Linked DNA regions of Alligator mississippiensis. The protein of the gene in region 1 interacts with the protein of each later gene in a pairwise test. Links are inferred from orthologs where the notes say so. Each region holds a gene or a part of one and is shown on either strand. Other genes may lie near its edges.

Region 1 (7,614 bases):
CAAGAAATCTTTATGACAGACACTTGAAAACCGATGATTTGGCATGTTCCAAGAAGAAAACATTTTGGTGAAAAATTGCTAACCAGTGCTAATTCGGATTGTCTATTGATGGATATCAAAGAGAATTCCATAGACTGAAACCACACCTGGTGGCTATTCCTAGATCTTTTCACATTGTAGCTGTGTACCGCTAAGCACCTGGTCCAGTAGGGTATTTCAGCCCTAGCTCATTTCTATTCTTCAGCATTATATTCTTCATGGTCATCAGTAAGGCTTGTACATTACAAACACAACAAAAAATAAAACCCCTCATTCTTTCAAATGGCATAAACACGTGAAAGGAAATGCTGTAGAAGACACAGGATATGGCATGGGATCATATCCCACTTTTTAGGGTAAAATAAATAAAAATCTCAGCACTAACAAATACAACCCTGCATTTGCTCTTATGATTTTCACAGTTAAGGGGGATAATCTAGGTCTACCTCTGTAGTGTATAATACAGTTCCCAATAGTCCAAGGGCACTCTTTACTGAGCAAGAAAGGCAGAGTTAGAGAACTATTTGGAAAAATCATGCCAAAATAAAATGCAGTAAAATTAGCTTTCTCATTAACAGTGGGATACACTGACCAAATGTATGACAGTTCAGTGAAACTATCATAGACATAGCATTAGTGGGTAACTAAGCACATCCTTTCACAAGTTTATGCCTTAATCATTCACCTCTCCATTTCTTTCTAACACTGTTAATGGGCTTAGGTGTTATTGTAGGTGTGATCATTCAGAAAAAATGCAAAAAGCAAGGTTTTCTTTCCAATATTGTCACTTACTTGTTTTTAAGAGAGAGAGACAAATCATGCTTCATGGAAATAAATTGATACTCTGACAATATGCATCATATACTGATTAGTATTTTATGATTTGGTAAACAGAAAGGAATATTTCAATTACAATCTATCCTTTTACTTGATTTCCATTTCAGATGCCTGAATTTACATTCAGCTCTGATAAATCCGTACACAGTGACTTTATTCTTCAATAAGTTTGCCGTTTCATAGAGAGCACATGTAGTGAATCTCATGAAATTATTCTAGTGGATATATTAAAAACAGATAAAGTTCAGCAATATAATCTTTAAGAATTTTACGACAAAAAATTTGTGCGCTACATTTTGAAATAACGATTTTCAAAATAATACCAGAATACATCTGAATCAAATAACAAAACTGAAAAAGTGGTTATGTAATGTAACATGACTTACTGCATCAACCAATATGCACATTCACTTTGACACAAAATCCTGTGTTATCTAGTTTTACTTATGTGACACTAAAAGGCAAGTATCAATATTTTCTTCAAATAGTAGAGTAATTTTCTTTGGGAAAGCTTTCATTTTGAGATTTTCCAACCCAAATATACTCAGACTCTGTAAATAATGAGCATCTTTCTCTCCTCAAAAAAAAAAAAAAAATTAGCAAAAAAACTGTGAAGTAAAACAGGTATGCTCTGTATCTGAACTAGAGGAAGGCAGGGTAGATTTGTATCTTATACATGAACCAAAGTAGATATATGTATCTACTTATATATATATATATGTGTGAATATATCTATAGATGAATAAAAGCCTTACCACTGTAGTGTGAGTTGGGTCTGTTTCTTTTTATCCTTCATGATCTGTGTGATTGTTTTCTTTGGAGACATGGGTTTGTCCAGGGATTTTATTTTATTGCCATGAATATCTGCATCCTCCTCTTCTGAGGAAAGGGTTTCACTGTTAAAATGTATTTCTAGCAGGAAAGGGGGAGGGGGAGAAAAGAACATAAATCCAAGTGTCTCACTGTATTTGTTTATCACAGTTTCTTGTCCTGATATATTTGCCACAGCGCTGATTTATTCTTGTGTTCATTTCCTGTGATTTTACCTACAGTATTTGTGTTTGCAGCTGGTAATATGGTGTGTATAACTATGGACAGTGAGGTGCCTTGGTTCAGTGGTTCTCAACCTTTTTGGCAGAAGGCACCCCTCTTTCAGCTCAAGGCACACTATGGAAAATGCTAGCTCTTGCTTTTCACTCATTTTTGACTACAGAAAAATAATAGAGCAATTCTTCCATTGCAAAGACCTCAGAAAGACCACAATAAGTCAGAATGTTTTTTTAACACTATGGGTTCCTATATGAAATCTCTGGGTTTATCTTGCAAATCATGTTCATGCGCTTAACACTGTGTGGCATCCCACGGCACCTTTGAAAAGCTGTTGAGGTGCCCTGGTTGAGAATTGCTGCCTCTGGCTGAAGTAAATAGCTCTACCTATCTAGGTCAGCTAATGTAGCTGTATGAAACAAAGTAAAAACTTGCAGCATGACAAAATACAAACTATATTGATGTAGCAGTCCTGGCTTGCTCTCTCTCCCTCCCTCTCTGCATCCTGTATCGCTACAGTCCAGATTTGTGGCTAGATGATCTCAGACCGAGGACTCTCTCTTTCTATGTATGTGTGTTATATATGTAGATAGATAGATAGATAGATATATCGTAGATACAGCAGTGCTAGGAATAGATACATGCATACATACATACATAGATGGATAAGTATATTGGTAGACATAGGAGTGCTAGGGCTAGATAGATACATACATACATACATAGAAGGATAAGTATATCGATAGATGCAGCAGTGGACAGGAAGAGAGACAGATACATAGACAGATGGGTAAGTAGATCGGGAGACACAGCAGTGCTGGGGCCACATCCACCCCCATGTCTCGGTGGCCGGGGGCAATGCCGCTGTCCCACCCCGTCCCCGTCTCCTCTGGTCCCCGAGCCTCCAGCCCCGGCCCCGCAGGGCGGCCCCCGCCGCGCTCTCACCTGCCTTGACGCCCGGGGCCAGGCGGGGCTCGGGGCAGAGCCCGTCCGCGGGCAGCGCCAGCAGGTCCTGCGGGGGCGGCGCGGCCCGGCTCGGCGCTGCCTTGAGCGGCATCGCTGGGCAGCGGCTGTCCGAGGCTCCCCGACGGCTGCCGCGGGGCTAAGGCCAGCGCCCGGGCGGCTGCATCGCTCCCGGCCGCCAGGCTGCCCGGCCGGCTGCGGGCTCCTCCCCGCCGCCCCCCGCCTGCCTTTATGCCAGCCCCGGCGCGGCTCCGGCCCGCGCTCCGCGCCCCGCGCCCTGCCCCAGCCCGCCCCCCACAGGCGGGGGAGCCCCCGCCGCGCCCATGGCTCGACTCAGCCCGGCCCGGCGCGGGGCCAGCCCTGCAGCCGCGTTAATGAGTAACCCCTGGAGCTGGGCTGTGTGGCGGGGCTGCCCCCGGGCACCGCTCCCCCCTCACAGCGCGGGCAAGGGGCGGCCTCGGCGCGGCTCCTGCCCCTGCCCGAGCACAGAGCCGCGCCCCGGGCTGAGGCATGGCCGGGGCTCAGCCTGGCCGCGGGCAGCCCCTGCTCGGCGTGGCGGCGCTTCTTCAACCCGCTCCAGTTGGCTGCGAGTTGGGCAGGAGGAGCCTCTTCCCCTTTGGGACATCCTGGGTACGGCTACACATGCTGCGTCTACATGGGCATGCTCGTGCTGCGCAGTAAATGTGGCGCCTTATGCCGAATTCGATACCTGTGTGGTGCGGGTGTTAACTTTGCCTAGGGTTAGTGTGTGTGTGTGTGTGTGTGTGTGTGTGTGTTGATTTGGGACTAACTTTAGCTGTTCGTTTGTAGGGATGCATTTTCATGAAGAGAAGGCTGTGGTGTCAAAGTAAAATGTCAACATGGGAACAAGATGTGTTGATCTTATTCTAATAAAATGCTTTCATCTGATCAGAACGAACATTATGGAGAATGCTGTTACAGTTTAGATTCTGTTTTTATTTCATTGTAGAATGTTAGGAAAGAAGGAAGGAAAATGTGGAAAAGCCAAGGAAGGAAAGAAGGAAATGGAAAACCTAGTTCCTGCCAAGCTCTACAGAGCAGGTCTCTTACCAGGTTGGAAATTCAACCTGATAAAAACATGAGATTCTGTCTTGTGCTGATTTGCATCTTGTACCTGCCCAAGGCAACAATCTTGGTCATTTTGCTTCTACTGTGGCACGGCCAGCGTACTCTAGCACTGACAGTCAGGGCCATCCCTGGGGGGGCGGGGGGTGAATCGAGGCAACTGCCCCAGGCCCCACACTTTGGGAAACCTCACAGAGCCAGGCCAGCTTCGCATCCAGCCGCTCACCACCCTCCCACTCCCACCCTCCGCTGCCGCCAAATCTGGGCCCCACACAGGCTGATTTGCCTCGACCCTGCACCCTGGTCTTCTCTGCTGACAGTCATCATAGAAGTCATATGTTAAGGGTTAATACCCCCTCTAACATCCACCACTCTGACCTGCCACTAGAGGCCTGGCAAGCAGGGGCTTGTTTAGGAGCTGCTAGTCTACTCTGTGCCTGCTCTACTTGCTGACTCTCCAGCAGCAGTATAGGCCAGGGGAGAGGTAGGGGAAGGATGAAGGATGGAGGGTATCAGGGGTCCCCCACTGCTTCCCCACACCACTCAGGTCACTCTCCCACTGCCCAGATTGGCCTATGCCATCCCACTCAGTTGCCCCCCACTGCCCCCACTGTCCTCCTGCTGTCCTGCACTGCTCAAATTGCCCTTCCCACCCCCCCATGCAGCTCTGCCCACATACCCCACAGGACTCTTCTCTGGCTCCCTGCTCCCCACTCCCCTGTAACTGCTGGTGCCATCCTTGGGGTGAGGAAAACTCCTCTTCTCCAGGGGCTGAGCAGCTGTGGCAGAAGAGGAGGAGTACTCTATGGGCACATCTATATATGTGCAGTTAAGGCACATTAGACTGATTTAAGGTACATCATGGGCTCACATCTACATGTGAGCACCTTTAATGCACCTTAAAAATGTCAAATTTAGGCTAATCATGCCTAAATTTGATACCTGCAAAAGCAGGTATCAAATTTAGGTGTGATTAATTAAAGTGCACTAATGCATGTGTAGACGCGTTGAAGTGCATTATTAGGGTGACTTTAGTCCTGGGTCTGCCCAGCCACTAGGGCGTCAGCCAGAGCCCAGCCCCATGGCTCCTGGTAGGCTGCCTCTCCTGCCCCAGGGCTGGGCTGCTCTCTGGCAGCCCCTAGCTGCCAGCTATAAAAGCAACCCAGGCAATCTCTGCCTGTCCTAGCTTGAGCTGCTCCTTGGCCACAGGTGAGTAATGAAAAGGACTGCAGCCTGCTACATTCATTGCCCAGCCCTGAGATTCCCCCCAGGGCTGCTGGCTCTGATATCTATGGCAGCAGGGTGGCCAGCACTTGCCCCTGCTGCTCCTCACCCCCAGCTCTATTTCTTTGCAGGAAGTGTAATGAAGCTCCTCTGCTGCATGGCTCACAGTCTTTGGCTGTGCCCCTGTCCAGGGTGCTGCTGGCAGCCATCCAGGGACAGCATTGCAGGGACAGCCACAGGGGGCCCAGAGAGCTGGTAACCTCATAGCACTCTGAGGCAGGACTGATGTCCAGAGATGGTTCACACGAGGTGGGAGCTTGGACACCCACATTTATAAGACCAAACCAGGTGGGATGCATGTGTGAGGCCACTTTCAGTCATCTTAGCAGTGTCGCATGAAAGTCAAGGTCTTGAAAGCACAGTGGGTGGCTGTGACCACATTTATTTGTCAGTCTGGTCATGCCCAGAAGACCATGCCCTTCATGCGGGAGGTAACTTGCATTTTGGCTCCCTGGGAGACAGACTGTACCCCTGAGAGTGCCACCAGCAAGGGTGGCCTAATCTTGCCTGCTCCCCACCCTGACACCTTCTGTCATATGTCCCCGAGGAGGGGACCTCAGCCCTTCAGTGCCCTGCCCCACCCACCTTCCTGCCTGCTGCATCCACTGGCATTGGAGAGCCCTGCCCAGCAGCTGCTTCACCCTCTGCCCAGCCCCACACCCTGCCATGAAGAACAGCCAGCCTGTCACTGCCAGCTGCCAACTTTTCCCTGGGGGGGGGAGGGGGAAGGGGCACCTGGCCAGGCTCTGCCTGCTGCACAATACAGGCCATGGATACTGGGTGTAGCCAGACACCATCACTGACAGGGAGCCCTATGCTGAGCTATCCCTGGACACATGGTAAATCGTGCCACTGGAGAGGGCCATCCCAGTCACTGCCCCTACCCCTGCCCCTGGCCCCTGCCCATACTCCCCTTGGCCCCAGAGTCCCCCCCATACCATGCAGAGAGGTGGGACACAGTTCAAAACTTTATTGAGCAACCTGTGTCCCCACAGCTGGGTGGGCACAGGCCTCTCACACACCGAGGAAGGCATCAATCCCAGAGGCAATGTCTTCCTTGGCAGCAAGGTTGTGTAGCACTGCAACAGGTGGCCGTGGAGGTTGTGGGCAGCCCAGGTTTGCCACCCACAATGTCATACCTCAGGGTCCCAAACCAGGAGGGCAGGTGTGCCTGGGGTACCAGGAGGATCAGCAACAGCAGGGCATAGTGACTTGGCTACCCCCCACCTGCACAAATAGCTCACTGCACACCACCTGAGGTACATGCAGCAAGGGCATACTCAGGGAACAGCAGTGGCATGGGGGGTGGCAGCCTCATGGCACCACCCTGGAGAGGCCTCCTGTGGAGAAGGCAGGGGTACAGCCAGCCCCTCACCCTAGTTGTCCAGGAGTCCTGTGTGCCCCAAGCCTGGGTGCCATGGACTAGGCAGCAGTACAGCAGAGCAGCTGGCTTGTAGGGAGAGGGGGGGAGTGGGGCCTAGAGCTGTGGCAGCAGGTGCTGTGAGAAGCCTGGCCTGACCCACCCTGGGAAGGGGGCAGAGGAGGCAGATGCCTGCAGCCAGCACCCAGAGGCCCGCCAGCCCCAGGGGAGCAAGCAAGGCTGGGAGGCTTGGCTGGCAGCCACCTGAGCACAGCTCTGCCTGGACAGCTTTCCATGGTCCCTGGGAACCCACGCATGGCCGACCCCTGATCTGAGGCCAGGCAGCACACAGACTCTGGTGCAGAGCATCTTATCTCTGAAATGTTGCAAACTCACATAAAAGGCTTCTGTCTCTTGCCTCTGCAGGACCAACATCTGGACATGGGGGAGAGGCCACAAGGCCCTGTGGGAATGCTGCCTCAGGGTTGCTGCCACCCACTGCTGGAGCCGCTTAGACATGCTGACTGTCAGCAGTGCACAAGGGACTGGACTTCCCTGCTCCAGTGGCTGGTGGTGGTGATGGAGAACTGGGCAGCATAGAAGCAGGCATGAGAGGCATGGGAGCTGGCCTGGCAGCAGAAAGCTATCACCTGCAAGACCACCCAGGAGGAGGCACAGGGCCAGATGCATCAGGAGCACTGGGCCCAGCTGGAAGCCCTGAAGCAGTGCTGCATTGAGCTGCTTCAGCAGCAACTGGTCAGCCAGGGCCACCCAGTGGAGACCATGTCCATGCCTTCCCACTCCTGGCCCCTGGCCCCGGCCCTGCAGGGTCCCTGGGTCCCTCCTGCTGGCCCACAGCAGGCCCTCACCTGGCCCTTGGAGGAGGGCCTCCACCACTTCTCACTCACAGGATCCTCTGGCATTCACCATGGCCCCTGGACCCATAGTGGAACTGTCTATAGCCAGGGTCCAGAGACTACATAGTTTTCAGTTTGGGA
Region 2 (7,498 bases), on another chromosome or scaffold:
AGCGCTAGGTCCTCTTTGCCAGCTATGACGCTCTACTGTGTGAACCCCTCTGCAGACGAGTTCCCGTAATGGAGATTTTTTTTTCAAAGAGCTTCTCCTGAACGCAGCCTGAAAAGTCCATCCACCTGTCTGCTCTCCAGCTCCCACGAATGGTTTTGTAACCAAGAACAGCAGAGATCTGGCAGTGATAGAGCAGACGCAGTCTCACGCTCCGAAGGGGCCTTTCTGAAGACGAGGGTGGGGGCATATATTCCTCCCCCCACACAATTTCATTGTTAAAGGGAGAAAGCAAGCAAAGAGAGGCCCCTCCCCAGGCTTCCCCTCCCCTGCCCCCATATGTTCAGTGCCTTCCCAAGCAGGGAGTGCCCATTTCTCTTCCACTCCCGTATTTTTTTTTTTTTTTGGCCCCGGCATTTTATTTGATGCCAGACTGCCACTGCTCTCTTCGCTTTCACAGCCCTGAGTCTGCCACCCCTGAAGGAACAGGCCCCTACAAATCACCGCTCCAAGTCACCTACCTGCCGCTGCCCACCGTGCCAGGGGCGCAGCTATGGGTGAGATCCCCGGAGAGCACAGATTTGCTTGAATTTACGAGACCCGGCTGCCACTTCCCGTCCCTGTCTTGTCCCAGCTCCCAGCCAGCCAGCAGCTTCTCCACCCCTCTCCACCTGCTTCCAGCGACTGGTCACAGGAAGAAGAATCACAGCCGAATGCTGGAAATTTTGTGCTGCAAAGCGAAAGGAAAACATCTGAGTTAGGGAGATGATTTTTTTTTTTAATCTGCCTGCCCAGGAAACTGGATCTGTGTCAGCCGAGCTTCTAATTACGGAGCTTTTTAGCTTAAACCTACAGAGCCAGCCAATGGCAGGGAATCAGAGCAGCAGGCAGGGAGGGAAATGAGCAATGGAGCTCAAGGGATATGTTAACCCTGCAAGGGAAAGAACTGTACACTATATCTGTTTTTTCTTACCACCTCCCATTCTACTATCATCCGTGTCTCCCCCTCCATATGTTGCTTCATTCCCTCTGTTCTCTTAATTCTCTTAGCTGTGACTGTTGTTCTTGCGTGTAGATTGTACGCAGTTCTGAGATGTCTTGGCAAGGATGATTATAGGCCATTTTAGAGATGGGGACACTGAGGCACAGAGAAGGGGCACCGTCCTTAAAACTCACTTTTGCCGTGATGCCTGCAGAAACCGCAACAACGGTTGGGCAGATGGGCTGTGTCACTGCTAGTGATCAAGCTGTTCATAATAATTTCTCAGATGCCTTCTGCTCCTCTCCATCTGCTTATTATATCTGCCTCTTGTCTTACATCTGCCTACTCAGCTCTATGGGGCACGAGCTGTTGTCAAGGTACACGTTTGTACAATACCTGACGGCAAAGCTAGGGCTTCTACTGCAATATGGGTAGGTGACACAATGATGTCAGTTAAGTGACTTGACCAAATTCATATAGAAAGTTTGTGGCTAAGCTTAGAAGAAAACCTAGCACAACCTCTTTCTCATAGCCATACCGATTTATGTTCCATAGCATTTGTATCCTTGCATCCACCCGGGCATGGACAGACCTACACCTGTCTTGAGGTATTTTGTATATCTAAGTAAATTATACTGGGATCAGGGACGGACAGATGTATTGCTACACTGGGACAGGTCAAATAGTAAGTGTTTATTGCTATGCCTCACCAATAAGCAGTGGGAATAAGCAATAGCCTGTTTGCCTTTGGCAAACAGCTACCTCAGATGAACACTGACAGTTATACCTCCCTGGTACAACTTACACTATAGTTGAGGGATAGTGCTTCTTTCAGGGATACTTCTCCACTGGCTTGGGTGACATGACGCCAGTTTGGAGTTGGTATTTTTCCTCCGCTCCTTTTTTTAAGCTGATGCAATGCAAACTACAGCAGTGTTGATATTTCATCTGCCCATGCCCTGAGTCCCAAATGAACTTAGGAGGGGATGTATGAAAGTGTCTAGGTGCAGGGCACAGAAAAGGGCCCCTGCAAACCCACCCAAAGCAGCAAAAGGAGCCCCAAAGGCAGAAGTAATTCAGCGAGGAGGCCGTTCCAGAGGGAACTATTGTTTCTTGGGAACTCTCTCAACTTTGGCTCAGTGACAGTTAATCTGCTCTGTTTGGGTTTGGTGTGAAGTTAGTCACAGCAGTGTTATCTTGCCTGCTCCTTGTTATGGACTTTGTACCATGGGGCCCCTGTCCTCTCTTTACCTCCTCTGTGAATTTGCAACACAAGCTGTAGTATTGCTGCTTCCTTTGTCACCTCCTGAGCCATTCACTCTCTCTCCTCATTTATGTCTATTCACACCGGAGAGGGAAACATCCTTTGAGCAAGGCCATCTGGGCTGGAGGGCTCAGTCGCAACACCTAACCAGACAGACCCAATCTGTTGTCTAAGCCCGTTACAGAAGCCATGCTAGAACGGTGAAAACATATGAGGAGGGCCCGTGAGTCGTTGCAGTCCTAGCGCAAAGGGGACCTAAATTGCAACCTAATCTTTAATCCAACAGATTGTTGTTGTTTGCATTTCAATCGTGACAGGAGGCCCCGACTAGGATTGGGCCCCCATTGTGCTAGATGCTGCGCGCACACAAAAAAGCCAGTGTTGTAGACAAGACAAAACAATAGGGATAAGCAAGGAAAGAATGTGTCAGCTGTACAGAACTAATGTCCTTGTCAAAAGACTGTGCCCAACTATTCCTGAAGTTGACTCTGAACTGTCCCAGCTGCACTGAGGATGCATTACGTCCTGTTAGGGATCCAGGTTGTCCTGGTGTTAGCCCTTCCTACAGGGTGCATTTCCCTGGCGAATCAATTCCTTTCTACACACAAGCAATTGCCATCCTTGTGGCACGTAGCAGTCTTGCACTGGTTCCCCACTGGAAGGAACCAATGTATTTTACCCAAAAGCCCTGTTCAAAGCCTGTTTAAAACATGCATCCACCTGATGTCAGGAGTTAGCCTTAAAACTCTCCTCTGCTACTCTGGTGACTTCAGGAGAGAATTTAACCCTGCAGCTTGGCTAGCACGGTCATAAAATATCCTAATTCACGATACACTAACACTTGGTGTTGGCATCGGACGAAGCGAGCTGTTGCTTACACATCTCTGATTCGCTCAGTTTATAAGTGCAACTCTACCCTGTCTGCTTCAGCCCTCGCTGTTCATAATGGTCAGGGAAGCCCTGGTTAGCACATGTTTAAACATGCATGTAGGGAGTATAATTATTGTTTGTATTACCGTCGACTCCAGGAGCCCTAGTCACGAATCAGGACTCCGGGCAGTCACATTAAGAGCAATGGTGAACCCCTGCTAAGAAGGTACAGGAACAAACAGCTTGTCCGGGGCGTGGGGGGGAAAGTCAACAAGTGCGTGCTCACATTGCTGCTGTTGTTGAACCACTGGATGAACCCTACACAGGAGGTGGCTGGCTTGGGAGAGGGCAGCAATCCCTGGGGGTACTGTGTGCCTTCCTTCCCCCTTTCCCCACCTATATTTGAATACTGAAACACCTCGGAGGCTCTCAGGGGTTTGGTGGAAATTTCCCTTTGGACGCAGAGCAGCTGCCGGCACTTTGCAGCGAGGCAGAGAACCAACACTCGGCGGATAATCGCCCCGCATGTTTCTACAGCAGCGGTTCTCAACCTTTTTAGGCTCAAGAACCCGCTCGTTAGACTCATGGCTGCCCTCAGAAACTACGTCAGCTCTTTCGCTTCTTGACGGCAGGAAAAACAGCACCTTCCCGAGGTCCAGAGAAGAGCCGTACGAGGACAGACTGGTCAGCTTAGAAAAGAGACGCTCAAGGGGGCACACGAGAAGGGCTTGCAAAATGGTAAATGGCAAGAGAAAGTCAACAGGGATTTATGGACGTTCCCTTGCTACAAAAAACCAAACTCTTCCCGTGTCTCCCAAGGCGTTATGATTGCTTATAGTTGGTCAGCTTGTAGGCCCAGAATCATGGTTTGGGGCATTAGCCGGTGGCATCAGGGGTCACGACGTGAACGCTTCTGCTGCCACACGGCCCCCGCTTCTGCCACGAAACGAGACGAGGAGGCAGTCTTTTGTACATGGCGCGTCGGTGACGGGCGCAACTCGTGGCCAGCGGTGGTGGCAGCTAAATGCAGCCACGTTGTAGCGGGAAAGGGGTCGCTACGGAGCCTCCGCCTCGCAATGGCCCAGGCTTCAGCACCCACTGTCTGCCGCCTTTTAACGCGGGCCTGTTTGTTACGGCCTGGGGGGCCTGGCCTGGCCTACGGCAACCCTCCCTCGAGGAGGCCGCGGGGGACAGAGCTGACCCCTGGGACAAAGACAACAGGGCGAGAGCCGGCCCACCGGGCAGGACAGGCTGACAGCTGCTCCAATGGCTGGGTCCAGCTGGGACAGGAAGTGAGGGGTCTGGGACAGGAAGTGAGGGTTCTGGAACAGGAAGTGAGGTATTTGGGACAGAAAGTGAGGGGTCTAGGTAAGTGAAGTGTTTGGCACAGGAAATGAGGGGTCTGAGACGAGAAGTACGGCATTTGGGGCAGGTGAGGTTGGCGGGGGGGGTCCCGAGCGCCGGCCCCGCTGCGCCGCCCACACGCCGGCTCGGGGCAGTTGTCGAGCGGGAGCGCGGGGGCGGGGCGGGGCCTGGCGCGCCCGGCAACGGCGGGCTCCGCGTGACGTCACACAGACGTCACCGTCCCGCTCCCCGCCAGGCCCCGCCCCTCCCCGCGCCCCCTGGCGGCCCCGCCGCGCGCCGCCGGGTCCTCCAGCCGGGGACGCTCTAGGCGGCGGCGCCGCACTCGCTGCTCCTGGCGGCCCCTGACCCCGGCCCGCGCGGGGGGAGCGGCGCTGGCGGGGCCCGGAGCCCGAGCGGGGCGGCGGCGGCCCTGGGCCCGGCCCCGCGGGTCCCGGCGGCGACGGAGGCCGGGCAGCGTCGCAGGTACCGCCCTCCCTCGAGGCCGGCTCCCCCCGGCCCGCGAGCGCCGCGTGTGCGGGGTTTCCTCGGGCCGCGGCGTACACCCCGGCCCGGCGGGCGGGAGGGAGCCACGTGCGCTTGGTCCCGACGCCCTGCCCCAAGCAGCACCCGGGGGTCGGGACCAGCTGCCGTGGCCTTGCCGCCCAGCCGGGCCCCCTGGTGCGCACGGGGGACGCGGGCCGGACAGTTCGGCACCTGTTTTGTATTTGAAGATAGGTTTGTCGCCCGGCAAGTCGGCCGGTTGCCCCTCCAGGAGGAACAAACGCTAGGAAAACGCCAGCGTTACTCGGCTCTCGGTTGCTTTTTACGGGGAGTCTAAAGCGTCTCGCTCGGCGAATCCGGCGGCCGCCTTCGCCACCTCGAGAGGCGCGAAAGGGAGTCTGCTCCGCTTGCGTTCCCGCCGTGGAAACGTGTTTGATCGGGTGGAGATCGGTGCAGGGGGGAAAGGGGTGTGCGGGAAAGGAGGGTCGGTCGAGGCAAGGCGAGAGGAGGTGGAGCTGTTGCCACGAGGGCGAGTCGTGTTTTCCGGCCGCGGGGCTGGAAAACGAGCGCTGCTGAAGCGAGCGCTCGTCAGGACTTCGTAGGAACGGCGCTGCTCGCACGGGCAGCTCCGTCGGTGCTGGGTATTGGCAGCTCCCCTGAGACTCCAGGCTTTTAATAGTCAGTTTTAGCTAGGCTTGCCATTCGAAGCCTCGTTTCGGGGCTCCCGTCGTCTGGGCAGCGTTGCGCTGTCGTGCTTTGGCTTCCCCACAACTGGCCGACTCCCCGAGTCTAAAATGTGTCCAATCAAGAGCTCTTTGACGGCTGCTTATTCTTTTCCGTTTCTGGCACGGTTAAACTTAGTCGTAGCTACAAAGTGCCGTTAACCAGAATGCCATTAAGATGCAAATTTCAGTGGAGCTAAAATTTTCTCCGCACTGAAGAGGTTTGTGCCCTTAACCGATACATGGCTAGCCAGTGTTTGCTGACTGCTTACGCAGTTTCCACGTATTAGGACTGGTTTTGTTATGCGGGGGAATTATGCGCTTAGTCGGCATGCACGTAAATTGGGTAGCCTCTGCTGAGCGTTTCTCAGGGTTTTGTTGGTGACCAAAGGAGTTGTTGAGTTAGACACCTATAAGGGATCTAATAAAAGCTCCCAATAAAAACAGGTGAGATTTGGGTAGGCAACTGGAAAAGCTGGAATTTTCTATGTGGCTATTTTTTTCCTTTTGTTTTCTTAAAAATGTTTGGAAGAGGTTTTGAAAAGCACTCCCAGAAGTTAGGCGCACAACTTCTGTGGACTGTCAATGCAGGTTGGATGCCTACTTCCTATTTTGCAAGACTTAACTTGTTGTTCACCCCCATAAGTAGAAAATGGATGTCACAGGAAAACTTGCCAGGTGTGACTTCAGACTCCATCTGTAAGGTGGGAGGTCAGCATATTCCACTGTAGCCCTTAAGAGAGGCAGGCAGGTGCATGGGAACCTGCATCTTCTGAGGGGAATGCTATTTTCTTGGCTGAGCTGAACAGTTTCAGGTATTCATAGTACTAAGGAATGCAGCTGGTTTGTTTTTTGTAGAAAGCAGAGACAATTAAGCATGAGGAAATTGCAAGAAATGGTCTGGACAGTGTTTAAATGCAAAAGGCACTTGCGTGGTGCAAGGATGCCAGGGTTTTGTTCAGTAGTGTATGCATCCCAAGGGATCTGGGTAGTTGGCACATCTGGACATGGAAACAGAGTCACAAAAAGTGTGTACTGAGACTCAAGTTCTAACCTAGGAATTTACATGGAATAGACATTGGCAAAATATTCAGCAGTGAGGCTGCAATGACCGGTTGACTTGGCTCTTCAAGGATCTTCGAGGCAGGGAGTCTCGCAGTCTTCCAGTGGAAACTATAACCCCCCACTGCAAACAGTTCCCAGAGCTTGAGCCAAGATCCAGAAAAAAAGTAGGAGAGGAAGGAAAAGGTGGGAAAAAATAGATGGTTTGTACAAAACTTGGAAGTTCGATGGAGACCTAGAGAGGCCGGGGGCAATAGAAATGGTTCTGATGGCAGAAGGAGAAGGCCGTGCCACCGGTGACCAGATTAGATGGAAGAGGAATCTGGATCTTGGTTTGCAGCGAAAGTCTGTGAAGTTAACTAGAACAGGGCTATGGAGAGGGCTTAACAAACAAGTTGGGGTTGAAAGGCTCCTGAAGTGAGCAGGGAACCTGTGTAATTCTTGACATTTGGGGGTGGGTGGTGGGGAGAGGAATGTGATTGCGCTTCCCAGACCCCATAGGAGAGTGGGCTACAGCCTTTTGCTCTTGCTGGAGTTGCAGGAGTTGGGACAACGTGAAGCTGCCGGCAAGGCTTTGCAACGCTCCGACTTGGCTGAGGACTCTAGTTGTCTGCAGTTACCCAATGAGGCAGAACGTGCTTGTGTTTCTGTGTGCCGATTCATTTCTCCATCTGTGTTCCCAGCCTCGCTTTCTTTATGAGCAATGTGGAGCTAATTCCTTAACAGTCAACTATATATTGCCTTTGGGTCTAGCTC
Region 3 (7,301 bases), on another chromosome or scaffold:
GCAGGGTAGAGCTCTGCTGGTAAAGAGGCTTATCATTTCATACTCTCACAGCAGGCTGAGACTACGTGTGAAATATGATCTCCTCACTACTGCAGAGTTGTTTCTAGCCAGGGAAGGAGATGAGGAATTTTAGGGACTGTATAATTGTGCAGGCTTGTCATTTAGCAGTCAGCACACAGCATTCCTCATTCATGACCAGTGAGAATGTATTTAATGCTAAAACAAACAATAATTTCCACCAAGTGAAATGGCCATTCTCATGGTTCCTGTACACTCCTGTATTAGTTCTTATACTTTCCTATATTAGTAAGTACATAATATTCTTTGTGTGCAAGTCAAACTGTCTTCAGACTTGTATCGAATACAAATAGGCTAGAACAGGAAAATGGAAAGGGGGGTGGGAGGGGGTGGGGCTTAGATCACTGGCCTTTACTTAGCCCAGTTATAAGTACTGAGTTATCCAGATCAGAGCTTCCCAAGTTATTTTGTATTGGGCTATTTTGGCCTTGTATGACCCACATCATTGGCACCTGTTTGCCTGCAACAGACTCTGGGGTACAGCTCATTAGGGAAACAGGAAGCAGCTATAAGGGTGGGACCCCAACTTTCCTAAAATTAGGGTAGGTGGGGTTGGACTGGACTCCTCTGTATTGCCCCAACAGAATGGGTGGGTGCATTTGTGTCATTAATATTGTATAGATTTATATTCTGATAGCAACAAGAGTTTCTGTTCTGTGCAGGTTCATGCAGCACATTTATCATTGAAGGAGCAGGGCTCCATTATATTGGACCATGCACAAATAGAATAAAAAGATGGTCCCTGCTTGGAACAGCTTAAATCTAAGGAAGTGTGTGTAATGCATGTGATATTTCTAAATCACCTTTTTATTGAGTTTGAAGGGGCTTTTTTGGCAGGAAAACTAAAATGTTCCTTCCCTCCCTCCTTTTTTTCCAATCACACAAGATTACCATATGTCTGAGCAGTAATTTAATGCTTCAGTACCCTGTCCAGGTATTTAAAAGTCAGCATAATACTATTATTGACACATCAGCTTTTCATGTGCACATCTCTTAGCAGAACCTTATTTTAAAAATGATTAAAAAAAGCTTTTTTTTAAAATAGTAAAATATGGTTCTAATGGCCAAAAATACAGTTGATTTCTTGCTCATAACCAGTTAAAGGAAACCTGCTGTAAAGTTGCGTATTGCTCACAAAAAACATATGTTCGTGAAGTTTAAGAAACAGGCTGATCTTTTTTTTTTTTTTTTAAGGAAAAAGATAAAAGTTTATATGCCAAAAAAATGCTAAACATCACAAAATGTGTATTTACGTAGACATATCCACTGGTATTAATTTCCTTTTTGATAGCAACAGTGTTATGCAGGAGTTCCTGGAACTAACTGCTGTAAATAGGAGGAGAATTTATCCCATTATCCAGGTATGTACAGTGATATAGCAGCATCAGAAAATTACAGAAAAGCATGTTCTCTTTTAAATTCACACAACATTAAAAATTACAGAATCCTTTTCCACACCATCCTATTACAATTCTTTAGTATTTAAGGGTTCTTATTTTGCAATCCTAAATCTGGAGCAATTCCTTTTGACTTCAGGGCAATTATTCAAGATCTTTCTCCTGGATATGCAAAAGCAGTAGTGAAATTCCTGAAGAACCCACCCACGCCTCAGTCAGGCTATTTTTTTTCCTGATGAGGTCCCAGTCTGGGTTACACATCAATACGATATGTATCTGCTAAAGATGAATCAAGTTCTCTTTCTCATAAAGTTCTTGTTTCCGTGGCTGAAAACAGAAAGGATTTTTACAAGTGTCCAGACGACTTGAAATACAGCACATGCACTATTCTGCCCGTGTGTTCCAGGCTTGCAGCTAAGAAAATGCCTTATGCTTTCAGACAAGAGCATTACATTCACAATATCAACCTCCCATGAGGACTTTAAGAATTCTAAAAGATGATGGTTACAACTTGTATCCCTAAAAGATGATAGGTACATTTTTACAGTTCCCTTGAAAAACATATGGCACAATCAGTCAGAAAGAAGATTCATAGATTCATAGATTCATAGATGTTAGGGTCGGAAGGGACCTCAATAGATCATCAAGTCCGACCCCCTGCATAAGCAGGAAAGAGTGTTGGGTCTAAATGACCCCAGCTAGATACTCGTCTAACCTCCTCTTGAAGACCCCCAGGGTAGGGGAGAGCACCACCTCCCTTGGGAGCCCGTTCCAGACCTTGGCCACTCGAACTGTGAAGAAGTTCTTCCTAATGTCCAGTCTAAATCTGCTCTCTGCTAGCTTGTGGCCATTGTTTCTTGTAACCCCCGGGGGCGCCTTGGTGAATAAATCCTCACCAATTCCCTTCTGTGCCCCCGTGATGAATTTATAGGCAGCCACTAGGTCGCCTCTCAACCTTCTCTTGCGGAGGCTGAAAAGGTCCAGTTTCACTAGTCTCTCCTCGAAAGATACTTTTAAAAACTATTTTAGAACAAATGAGTCTGAAACTTGACATTCCTATCTACTCGGAGCCAGCACAGTATCTGTGGCAACTGAAAGAAATCAGATAGAGTTTTCTTTGAAACTCTGACAGCCTTAAAAAAAAACAGAACTCAGTGTAATTCAAGAAAAAAAGTTCTTTATATCCTTTGATTCTAGGTATGGAAAAAACTGGCATATCCAGTTCTCTTTTGTCTTGTACTGGTATGGAAATGTCACTCAGAGTCCATATGAAACTAAAAATGTAAACGTTCCCCTTGCACACACACACACTGAATAAGAACAAAATCTTTTTAAAAAAGCCATTTGCCTCACCTTATACTTCATAATTGCAGATGTATCTGGAGTAGTTCTGTGAAACTAGACAGAATACTCTACAATCTCACACATCTTCCTTTCCTATGTAATGTCTTCAGAAGTGAAAATGAAAATATCCCCAGAATTGAAGGCGGTTTTCCAGTCTGAGTCTGTGAACTCTTAGAGCCGCTAAGTTTCCAGTGCATCTGAGCTCATTGTTGTGATTTGCTGCAACTGGGCTGCGCTGCTGATTTGCATAGCTTTCCACTATTGGCTAGAAAAGGAGATGGGCTGGGACAAGATGACAGTGACCCCTCCTCTTTTCCCAACTCCAGAAACACTACCCTTCTCCTCACCCCGCCAAGCCCAAATCACTAAACTAGACATGATTTTCCACCTCCACAGAGTGTGTGGGGGAGTGGAGAGAGAGAAGAGAAAAGAGGAAATCTTTTAAGATTAATTCCATTTTTAAAAAAAAAAAACCAGTCCACAAAGTGAGGTCAGGCAGTCCTGCTTCCTGTGACCTAGCAACTCCTTCATAACCCAGTTTCATTTCAAAGCCATTCACCTCACAATCTCCACATGAAATGAATGCGGGGACAAAAGGTTTTCTGTCTCCAGTCCGCTTTTTACTCCTCACCCCTGCTGATATCTCTTTTGGTTGCTGTTGTCTTTTTGTTCCTCTCAAGGTTCACAGTGCTCTGACTGTCCGTTTGAAACCAGCTGGGCAAATACTTGCTCTGACAGTGACCAGGCATTACAGTGCTCTAAGTATGTGCTCTGGACCAGCCCAAGATTATGGTGGTGATAATTGCTGTAATAGTCAAATATGCAAAGCACTTTACCAACAACAGTAAGTGCCCTATGATATCCAGATATGAAACAGCATGAGGAATATTCAGATATGATATGAGGAAGAATGTTAAATTAGAAATCTTGTCCAACTTTATCCTAACCACATAGTTGGTTCAATAAAAGATATTGCCTTAAGAAATCCCTGCCTCTTGCATAATTTCTGATATTTAGGCATTATACCAGATACATACTAGAAGTGGTATAAATTAGTTTTTCATGTTAAATTTGTACCACGTATTTTTGCCTGTTTGCATCCTCTGTAATCCTTTTGCCGTACTAATTCATTTGAGGAGGGCTTCTTTTATTAAACACCATTTTTTTCACTCCTGCCTTTCTACTTAGTGAAATGGTCTGTTAATGTTCCCATTGTTATCTCTTGAATCAAAATGCTAAATATTCACTTCGCATGGGAAAGGCATGTTGATTCCATACTGATTAGACACCAGGGCACAAGTAGGCTTTAATGATCTACATACCCAGTTTAACCTGGGATAGTAGTATGATTAGTATGATTTAAAAAATGCAGTATTTACCTGTGATTAACCTACTGATAGGAAAGAGAAAGGAAAGCAAATGTGTAGTAATTTAGTATTCATTGGGTGTGTCTACACATGAATTTACGTGGGCTTAAATTTAATGCGCTTTATCCTAAGGCAATTTAGGCACATGTTTACACGTGGAGGCCTTAAGGCACCTTAATGTGGCTCGCTGGGCAACCTGCCCTGGTCAGCACTCTGGACAGCCCCCGGAAGCCCGTGGCAGTGTAGCTGGGTGGTGTAGCCCAGCACTTGCCAAGTGGGAGCCTCCAGTCCCCCCGGAAGTGGTTGGTCCACGCCTAGCCCCAGCCGTGGCTCCAACCCCCTCCCCATGTTCCTGCCTCCCCAGGATCGGAGGGCAGCAGGCCAAAGCTGAGCCCATGGGCCCCACGCTGCCACCAGGCACCACCAAGAAAACACGGTGGGTGCTGTTCTGCAAGGCACAGACACTGGAACTGGAGCAGTGCTTCTGGTAGCAGCAGTCTCTGTTGGTGTGCGGTAAGTCAGCAGAGGGCCTAGGAGGCATGAGGGCTTCTGGCAAAGCACAAGGGACAGGCCACACTATGACTCCCTGCAGGGGAAGTGGGCAGAGCCTTTGCTAGTTCCTCTCCCTCAAGGCAGGTTTGCTGGCCGGGCAATGCAGCCCTGCAGGGGCAGGACTCCTCACTCCCTGCCCGGGATTCAGGTACCCTTAGAAGCCTGTGCTGGGGCTCCTGCCCAGGACAGCAGATGGGCTGGGACTGCATCTGCCCCCCAGTACCTGGTACAGCTTTTGCTGCTTCACCCACCTCCATCTCAGGCAAATGCCTAACCTCCATGCTGGACACTGGGTGGAAAAGGCAGTGTCAGTCCCTGGGGGCTCTGCACAGCTCAGCCTGTGTAGGCTGGGTGCAATGTGGGTAGAGGCTCAGCTCTCTCCTTGGCCTGCCTTATCCAAGGCTGAGCCTCTGCCCATGTTGCACTCAAGCTGTGCCACGCAGAGCCCCCGCAAGTTGACACCACCTCTCCCACCCACAGTGTCCGCACAGAGGCCAGGTGCTTGCCCAGGATAGAGGTGGGTGGAGCAGGGAAAGCCATGCCAGGTGCTGGGGGCAGACACAGTCCCAACCCACCTGCTATTCTGGGTGGGAGCCCAGTGGAGGCTTCTAAGGGTGCCTGAATCCTGGGTGGGCAGTGAAGCATCCTGTCCCTGCAGGGCTGCATGGCCTGGCCAGCAAACCTGCCTGGAAGGAAAGGTATGGGAGAGCTGCTAGCAAAGGCCCTGCCTATGCTGCACTGCTCCCTTCCCTTGCAGGGAGTCACAGGGTGCCTGTTTCTTGGGCTTTGACTAAAACCCTAAGTAATCACACCTACATTTGGTAATTGCTTTATGCAGGTATTAAATTTAGACATGATTAGCCTAAAATTATCGTTACGGTGCATTAAGGATGCACACATGTAGACCCCATGCCCTTAATGTGCCTTAAAAATGGCTAATGTGCCTTAAATCACCACGTGTAGATGTGCCCGTTGTAACTGAACCTTCTAATTCTGCTTTGATGAATGCAGTCCAAGCACTATCAAGCTTTGAGTGGAACAGACTCCAGAAAATTAGATCATCTGCTTATTTTTTGGCCAACTTGAACCTTGGCCAGAATTTCTAGGTCACAGATGGATTTAAACTCAGATTGCTTCTAGAGATCTAAGGAAAAAAAAAAAAGAACTAGAGTCTATCATCAAATATTAAAGACAACTGTTTCACAGTGCACTAGAACTGTACTAATTCTCATGTGATTAGTCCACTAGAGAGCCCTCATATTACTCAGACTTCATGACTTATATGAAGTATAACAGTGGTGTTCAAGCTGTCTTCCATGGAGCCTATTGTTCCACTATAGGTCATAGAATCATAGTCATAGAAAATTAGTGTTGGAAGGGACCTCAGGGGTCATCTAGTCCATGGAGACTGGCCCCAGCAGTGGTAGCGGGGGCATGAAGCAGGGCAGGGAGCTGCTCTGGGGCCAGGCTGGGATCTTGCAGTGGTGACAGTGTGGTCCAAAGCCAGGGCAGAGCCGTGATCCGCAGCCTGCATGCTCTCGGCAGGGGCGTGCGGGCAACGGATCTCTGGCCCGGCTCCTTGCAGCAATGACAGCATGGTCTGGAGCTGGGGAAGAACTGCAATCTGCTGCCTGCATGCCCCTGCCCAGAGTATGCAGGTTGTAGATCATGACTCTGCCCTGGCTGTGGACCATGCTGTCACAGCTGCAAGATCCCAGACTGCCCTAGGAGCAGCTCCCCGCCCTGCCGCGTGCCCTGCCCGCTGCTGCTGGGGCCAATCGCCACAGAAACCCTGGCTCCATGCTATCACAGAATGGCTGCTGCTGGGGTCTCCATGGAAACTGGCCCCAGTCCTGTGGGCAGGGACATCTGGGAAATAGAGTCCAGCAGCAGGCCAGATCCGCCACTTTGTCTAGGTTCATCGTCTTTGGAACCACCCTGCAGGTAGTTAAAGGCTGCTATCAAATCCCACTCTATCTTCTCTTCTGCAGACTAAATAAGTCCAGTCCCCTCAGCCTCTCCTCAGAAGTCACGAGCCTCAGCCCCCTGACCATTTTTACTGCCCTCCACTGGACTGTCTCCAACTTGTCCACATACTTTCTATAGTAGGGGACCCAAAACTGGACACTACTCCAGATGTGGCCTCACCAGTGCCAAATAGAGGGGAATAATTACTTCCTTTGAGCTGCTGCAACAATCCTACTAATGTAGCACAGTATGCTGTTAGCCTTCTTGACAACCCAAGAACACACTGTTGACTCATATCCAGCTTACTGTCCACTATAACCCCTAGGTCCTTTTCTGCAGAGCTGCTACTTAGCCAGTTGGTCCCAAGCCAGTAGAGGTACATGGGAATCTTCTGTCCTAAGTGCGAGACTTTGTACTTGTCCTCGTTGAACCTCATGAGATTTCTTTTGGTCCAGTCCTCCAATTTGCTTAGGTCACTCTGAATCTTAGCTCTAACCTCCAGCATATCTACTACTCCCCCCAGCTTGGTGTCATCCGCGAACTCACTTAGGGTGCAATCCATCCCATCTTCTAGATTGTTAACGAAGAGAGTGAG

Evidence for each region.
Region 2: the proteins of RFX6 (region 1) and FRS3 interact in binary tests that used the Homo sapiens proteins (3 or more experiments, as listed by UniProt). The two-hybrid records come from large-scale screens. The link is inferred for Alligator mississippiensis from reciprocal best matches to the Homo sapiens genes RFX6 and FRS3.
Region 3: the proteins of RFX6 (region 1) and NEDD9 interact in binary tests that used the Homo sapiens proteins (3 or more experiments, as listed by UniProt). The two-hybrid records come from large-scale screens. The link is inferred for Alligator mississippiensis from reciprocal best matches to the Homo sapiens genes RFX6 and NEDD9.

The regions. Positions count from the first base shown.
Region 1 is NC_081824.1:101,816,050-101,823,663, reverse strand, and holds the start of RFX6 (DNA-binding protein RFX6), read right to left. Parts: upstream 3,067-7,614; 5' UTR 2,981-3,066; coding exon 2,869-2,980; intron 1,789-2,868; coding exon 1,632-1,788; intron 1-1,631. UniProt on the Homo sapiens protein: Transcription factor required to direct islet cell differentiation during endocrine pancreas development. Specifically required for the differentiation of 4 of the 5 islet cell types and for the production of insulin.
Region 2 is NC_081837.1:38,889,323-38,896,820, reverse strand, and holds the start of FRS3 (fibroblast growth factor receptor substrate 3), read left to right. Parts: upstream 1-4,439; 5' UTR 4,440-4,481; intron 4,482-4,830; exon of another isoform or gene 4,831-4,940; intron 4,941-5,015; exon of another isoform or gene 5,016-7,498. UniProt on the Homo sapiens protein: Adapter protein that links FGF and NGF receptors to downstream signaling pathways. Involved in the activation of MAP kinases. Down-regulates ERK2 signaling by interfering with the phosphorylation and nuclear translocation of ERK2.
Region 3 is NC_081826.1:132,751,007-132,758,307, reverse strand, and holds the start of NEDD9 (enhancer of filamentation 1), read right to left. Parts: upstream 3,029-7,301; 5' UTR 2,841-3,028; coding exon 2,829-2,840; intron 1-2,828. UniProt on the Homo sapiens protein: Scaffolding protein which plays a central coordinating role for tyrosine-kinase-based signaling related to cell adhesion. As a focal adhesion protein, plays a role in embryonic fibroblast migration.